Arabidopsis thaliana: one gene and its partner. The protein of the gene in region 2 interacts with the protein of the main gene of each other region in a pairwise test. Each region holds a gene or a part of one and is shown on either strand. Other genes may lie near its edges.

Evidence for each region. The genes of interacting proteins can lie anywhere in the genome.
Region 1: the proteins of LOG2 (region 2) and GDU3 interact in a two-hybrid assay, tested with the Arabidopsis thaliana proteins (2 studies listed by BioGRID).

The regions. Positions count from the first base shown.
Region 1 is NC_003076.8:23,365,420-23,369,179, reverse strand, and holds GDU3 (glutamine dumper 3), read left to right. Parts: upstream 1-2,116; 5' UTR 2,117-2,377; coding exon 2,378-2,824; 3' UTR 2,825-3,375; downstream 3,376-3,760. UniProt on the Arabidopsis thaliana protein: Probable subunit of an amino acid transporter involved in the regulation of the amino acid metabolism. Stimulates amino acid export by activating nonselective amino acid facilitators.
Region 2 is NC_003074.8:2,996,566-3,000,325, reverse strand, and holds the start of LOG2 (RING/U-box superfamily protein), read left to right. Parts: upstream 1-2,070; 5' UTR 2,071-2,490; coding exon 2,491-2,993; intron 2,994-3,174; coding exon 3,175-3,682; coding exon of another isoform or gene 3,683-3,697; exon of another isoform or gene 3,698-3,760. UniProt on the Arabidopsis thaliana protein: Acts as an E3 ubiquitin-protein ligase, or as part of E3 complex, which accepts ubiquitin from specific E2 ubiquitin-conjugating enzymes and then transfers it to substrates (in vitro).

The DNA of each region.
Region 1 (3,760 bases), on a different chromosome or scaffold from region 2:
CTCATTGCAGTTTGGATACCAGAAAAATATAACTTGTTTCAAATCGAACTAAAATGTTTTGTCGCGAATAAGTTATACTCTGATCTCTTAAAACGAGTTGTCTAAAAGTTCGGACACTCTCTTTTTAACTAGTAAAACAAACTATTGAAACAAAATTTTAACATCATAAAGTGTGAGTTGTTTTCAATTGTTCTAATCGTTTTCTCAATGTGTTTGACTAATCGAGAAAAAGCAAATGATAGGAACTTGACCAAATAAACTTTGATCCAAATAGACTGTGCAAAAACATGGGACCATTTTTGTTATCTCATCTATAATTTTTAAAATTATCATTGATGAGATAATTGAGACCTCAGGCATATGGTTTGGTATGTTGTTTCCAGCTTTTTTTCATTGGGGTTTCCCACTTTCCTTTTTGATGATATATAAAATTTTCTGTACTCCTCTAATATATCATTAAAATATTTTAAAAACGTAAAATTTGGTATGTTCTTGTTAGAATGATGATTTTGGTGCATAGTGGATTTTTTTATATATGATAAAATCAATAGTCACTTGTTAAAAGCAATTTATGGTGGTGGTGGGCTACCGTCTGTTTTTTCATTTATATTTATGTGTTCACAGTTCACGATGAAATATGATAACATATATATATATATATATATATATATATACCTATCATAATTATTTTTTATGCTGTATATATGTGAAAAAATTGTCTATATATAGTAGTTAATTAATTATGTATATGAATACAGCATGAAAAATTATTGAGAGCGAGTGTGAGTCTTGTTGTTCTTGCTTTGCCGAGTTTCAAGGTCTCATACGAATTCATTTGCTCTTTAACAATCATGCATATCTTGCATATATATCAATATGTTGGAGATACAATAAAGTTGGTTATAAATATGTATAGTGGAACTCGAAGTAAGAAGATTTAAACAAACATGTAATTTTAGTTGTTTTAGGTAACGTTCACTTTACTTGTTTGGCGTTAACGGTTATTACGTTTCCGGCTATCTCTTCACGTTTGCATCGCTCACCTAAATTTTAGCGGCTTTAACGGAACCGTTTTTGGTCAGTCTCTTGTCCTTATCTTATTCCCCTTTTAATTGCCTCTTTTAAACCCTCTTTCTTCTTCAGAGTGTTTCTTTATCTATTAGCCATCAATCATTGGTTTTTTTGTTCTAGTTAAAAAATTCATCATTTTCATGACTCTTATGTTTTCATGTCTCACTTTTCCACTGTAAATTAGAAAAATAATTATTAGCCAAGTAGATGTTGATCTTACGCTGTACTAGTAGAGAGTATAACCACTCAGCAGATATTTTCTGTAAAGTCATACTATATTTTATTCGAGTGGATTCGACACTATGTGAATGGTTGTTAATTATCTAAAACAGTGTTTAAGTGTTACAATAAATGATTACTAATATTATAATTCCTTGGAGTATGATAGAATCGAAGATATTTTTTGAAATTATCCACTGATTAAGCTTAAAAAGTAGTAAGGAATACTGATTAAGAAACAGACCACATTAATTGGGTCCCAACTAATCACCGGCACCTAAACCAACAGAAGCTCATCATTACACGGCTTGCTAACTATACATAACATTCCTCTGTAAAGCATGTAGTTTCAATTTTTGAAATATATAAACCCTTAACCTTGCTGAGATTATAAATGTTACCAATCATTTTTAAAATGCTATTGCTGTGAATGTGAACGTCGATTATTTATGTAAACTTCTAAGTAAAACACATACACACATTACTCTAGAAAGAAAAAAGTAGATATGTTAGTTATCTTTTATGTTGGTAAGCGACTCAAAACGGACAAAAAAAAATGAGTATGGTAAATCTCAACAGCCAAAAAAAAAAGTTTACCATTGAATTAAGAATTTTCTCTTAAAAATATGTTTGGAAATCATAGGAAAACTTGTTAAATGTTTATTTTTTCATTTACAAATTATATATATATTCAGTGGTTAATCCTTTTGTACACACCATCTCGATTACTTTAGCAAACGGCAAAAATAAGACATAACATAAGTTATGCACTCACGTCACGACTCCATATAATCATTCATGATAACTGAGAAACATAAAAACTGAATTCATATTGCTTTTTTCTCCAACTCACTCATTACATACAAATACATAAATAAATAAGAAAAATTTCCATAAATCAGAAGTAAAAAGAATCTCATACGCAAAATAATAAAATTAAAAATTGATACGTCACACACAATCCACAACGTTAATTCGCTTCTTCTCTTCTATAAAACCCTTCCTCACTCATCTTCCTCCTCACACCAAAACATTTTCCTAAAAAAAAAAAAAACTCAAAACTCAAAACCATCTTTGTGAAAAAAAAATGGAAGGAAGACAATATTACCCTCCGAGAGAAAACGTTGAAGGAAACAGAACCACCATGGGAGGAGGACCTCACTCACCGTGGCATTCACCGGTTCCTTATCTCTTTGGTGGTTTAGCAGCGATGCTTGGTCTCATAGCTTTTGCTCTTCTAATCCTCGCTTGCTCTTACTGGCGTCTCTCCGGTTATCTAGACGGCGAGGAAAACCAGAGCAGAGAGAGAGATCTTGAAGTCGGAGATGTGAAACCTGACAAAACGGCGGTGAAGCCTGTAGCTTTGCCGGAGAAGTTCTTGGTGATTATGGCCGGAAATGTCAAACCTACTTACTTAGCAACGCCGTCGGTAAAAACGTGTACTTGTGACGATGATGACGATGAAGATGATGACGTGGAGGGAAGTGATCAGGTGGTGCCGCGGAGTAGTGAAAGTAACGGTGAGACACATTGACAAAACCAGAGGAAGGGAAGAGAAAAACAGAGGATCGTCTTATTGTGAACAGTTCTGAAGAACTGTTTGCAGCATCTGACCCGGTTGCGTCGGGTATTCGGGTTGGATCATAACTCTACTTGATGATGAGTAATATTGGAAAAAATTGGAATTGGGATTGAATTATTAGGAGTTGTTCTGATCAATGATGTATTTAAAAAATCTTAGCTTTTGCCTTTTGCATCGTTAATTCGTTTTTTTTTTTTTTGTAAGTTTTGTGCCATATCTAGGTCATGATGAGGGATAAAATGTAAATTTCTGAGACTTTGAATGTGAAATTTGTGATTTATGGAATTGAGAATGAAAAAACAAATAACTATCTGAGACTTCAATGAAAATATCTTGATTATTTTAAAAATTCACCAAAAAAAAAAGGTGATTAAATGATGAAAAAATTGTACTGTTCCAGTACATGTTTTTTCGTGGGATTAATGTGACAATTGTGGTCCGAACAAAAAAGAAAACAGAGAAAATATCAAAAGATTCTTCAGGTGAGAAAATTGAAGTGAGGACTACAGGCACGTGTGAAGGCACATGCAGAAGAATGTCTGATTTAATTTCTCTTAGGTGTCTCTAAATTGATGCGGCGAGGTGAAGCAGTTAAAATTAGCTTCAATCAACGACCCTAATCGTGTAATTAATCTCCTATAGCATAATTCTTATCAGGAAAATATTTTATAAGTTTCGAAAATGACTTTTAACTGCACTAGGTCTCTTTTCTTTTTTCCCTTTCAATCTTATCTTGTAGGCTGTAGCCCTAGCTAGGTTTCTTTTTTTTTATATTACTTTAAAGCTATGGATTCTTTATTTATACATTCATCTAATGAAAATGGATTACCAACTATTAATAGTGAATATTCGAGTTCAGAAACTAGACTTTGATGAATAACCGTCAAT
Region 2 (3,760 bases):
AACCTACTAGTAATTCTTTTGACAATATAGAGCTTTTCTTAGTCATAAAACAGCTTTTGTTTCAAAATTGGAAACGATCTCTCTTTTTGGGATCTTACACAAAGTACACATGTACGAAATTCCTCATTGATACATCATTCCTCATTACGAACCACACAATTAGATCTAACATATATATATTTGTTCCACTCAAATACAAATCTTGTTAGGGTAACATCACCTCTGAGGAAACGACAAAATGAAGTTAATGAAAGTATTTGGCTTTAGATGGATTCGTAGATAGTACGTGACACGTTGCTGATATGCGGACTTCAGATAAATTATCGGCTAGTATCATAAAGATAATGTAAGGGTCTAAGCATACTCACTAATTAACGAAATATCTTCTTAGAAACACCTGAGCTCGATCTATTTCAATCATAGTGACTCAAACCTAAGAAAATCTTTGACATATGTATATTACATTAGTGTTCCAAGAAGATGCTACGTTCGACGTCATATTTGTTATCCTGTAAATTATAACAAAGATGCATCAACATTCAACAGAGAACAAAGTTTAGTTTTTATATATATATATATGTCACGATCATAGGTCTACATAACTATAAATTGATACAATTGATTTTACAGATTTTACACAACATATGTATCCAACTTGATGATATATCCGGTCTGCCGTTTCCCACTATATATAGAGTATTTTATAATTGATTCCCATTTATTTTTCTTAGTTTATATATGTTCGTCTTTTGGAATTGCTTAATGAAAGTGTGTGCGAGTGGTTAGGTATGCGATTCTATTATGTCTCTTTATTTATTTTTGATTTCGAATCGCACCACTACCTTCGTATGGGAATGTTTCAATATGATATCTATCTGTATATGATCACGAATATAATTTGATTTTGATCAAAATCAACATGTAATATAATTTCACGTAATATCAAACATCCAATAGTTACAGTTTAATCTGGCTACTGAATATATATATATATATATATATATATCTTCCTTTGAAAGAATGTTTATATATTTTTATTCTTTGTGACGTTTTTTTTAGCTAATGGTGATCTCTTGACTCTAAATTCATACAAATTTTTTAAAAAATTAGCTTAGGGTTTTGAAAATATAAAAACTCTTTTAGGGCTTATGTTTTCTTTTTGGTCAACGGAGCTTATGCTTTTGTAGAAACACTAATTTTTAAGACATTAAAGTATACATCAGTTTTGTTTTGTGTTTTGGGTTAAACTTATACACAATTATTCAAAGACGACAAAACAAGTTTAAATATGAATTCCAAAATACCAGTTCATCTTTTCGGACTACTGTATATAAGAATATTATGTTGGCAAAAAGTAGGTTTATTATAGGTTAAAAATAAAAATAAAGTATAGCCTACTTTGTTAGGAATACATATTAAACTTCACACTAATTACTAGTAGATATTTAGGCAATATAAGTCTAGAAGCGGAAAGTAGACAATGCCTATTGCCTAGTATACATTTCGGACAGCACAAGTGACTTTTAACTCTTTAATCACACAGAAGACAGAACTATGCAATGATCGACAACTTCTTCACTCTGTAAAATATTTGGATTTCTCAATTAATGGTTTCTGAAAATAACATCATCTTTTTAAAGCATGAACAAATTAATCCTAATGTAGACCTAAATAAAAATCTTAAGACCATCTTTATCAGTAAAAACAAGGAAAGATTCTAAAAAAAAATAAAAATAATATTTTAATTAAAACAGATACATTAATTATTATTTAATAATTGAATTAATAGTATGATGACACTTGTCCAAATTGGATGAGAATAGTTTCTCAAAGTTTCTCGGAAGAGAAATTCAACTCTCCTTCTCTTCTACTTTTTTTTCCTTCTATCATACTTTTTCTTCTTTAATTATTTTTTTTTTTTATTGGGTATCTTATTGAGATACTTCAAATGGAGATGCTCTAATAATTAATGGGAATGTGTTTCTAATTAAAAAGATAACATCTTTCTTTCTATATTTTTGTCGTCATATAACACACCTCAACTCTTTTAAGTACTCGTGTTGAATTTTGTTTTTTGAAAAGACAAAACTCCTTATAATCAACGTAATTATTAATAACAAGGAGAAAAAAAGTCCAAAGAAAAAAAAAAGAAAGCTTTTTGGGAACATAAACACCATCGAAGGAGGGTGGGAGGTGTTTTATGTTCATGGGTGGAGCTTCTTGGCCAACCTGACCCCATTCATCATATCATTACCCACTTTCTTCTCCTAAATTATTCTCTCTTATCTCTCTCTCTCTCTTTTTATTTTCTTTCTTTCTTAATTCATCTAAACTCTCTCTGCTTTTGCTTTTCGTAATTCCTTACATTTCACTCAATATTAATCCCCAGAATCTCCGATCCACCCACAAATTTAGCAATTTTCTGAGATTTGATCATTTGGGTCACCAAAAAATCTTGTCTTTTTGATCTGGGTTTAACGCCAATAACATATGGGAAACATTAGCAGCAGCGGTGGTGAAGGTAGACGCCGTCGACGGCGAAACCATACGGCGGCTCCACCACCACCTCCTCCTCCTCCTTCTTCTTCTCTTCCTCCACCACCTCTACCTACAGAAATCCAAGCTAATCCCATCGTTTTCGCTGCCGTTACTCCCTATCCTAATCCTAATCCTAATCCGGTTTACCAGTACCCTGCTTCTTACTACCACCATCCTCCCCCGGGAGCCATGCCTCTTCCGCCGTACGACCACCACCTCCAACATCATCCACCGCATCCTTACCACAACCACTCTTGGGCTCCCGTGGCGATGGCCAGATACCCTTATGCTGGTCACATGATGGCTCAACCGACTCCTTACGTTGAACACCAGAAAGCCGTCACGATTCGTAACGACGTTAATCTCAAGAAGGAGTCTCTTAGGCTTGAACCCGACCCGGATAATCCGGGTCGCTTTCTCGTCTCCTTTACGTTTGATGCAACCGTCTCCGGAAGGTAGATTTCACTTTCTCCCTTTCGTTGATTTCGTGATCCATTTGAGCAGATAACACGTGAATTTTGTTGTGTTCTTCCTCGTGACTATGTAATTTGGATCTTCTTATTGCAATTTGATCAAATCTTCTTCATGTGTAATTGAATTAAGCTTATGTTATTATGTTGGACTTGTGAAAAATAGGATTAGTGTCATTTTCTTTGCTAAAGAATCCGAAGATTGCAAACTCACAGCGACAAAGGAAGATATACTGCCACCTATCACTCTAGATTTCGAGAAAGGACTTGGTCAGAAGTTTAAACAATCATCTGGTTCTGGTATAGACTTTTCGGTCTTTGAGGACGTTGAGCTGTTCAAAGCGGCCGCAGACACAGAGATCTATCCATTAGCGGTTAAGGCAGAAGCAGCTCCCTCAGGTGGTGAGAATGAAGAAGAAGAAAGGTCGGGGTCGAAGAATGCGCAGATTACTCAAGCGGTTTATGAGAAGGATAAAGGAGAGATTAAGATTAGAGTGGTGAAGCAGATACTATGGGTTAATGGAACGAGATATGAGTTGCAGGAGATTTATGGGATTGGGAATACAGTTGAGGGGGATGATGATTCAGCTGATGATGCTAATGATCCTGGTAAAGAATGTGTTATATGTTTGTCTGAACCACGAGACACCACTGTTCTTCCATGTCGACATATGGTAAGTGAAAGCTGATGATTTACTACTATTATGTGATGATGGACATATATATAGATGTTAAAAATTGTTTGGGTTTGG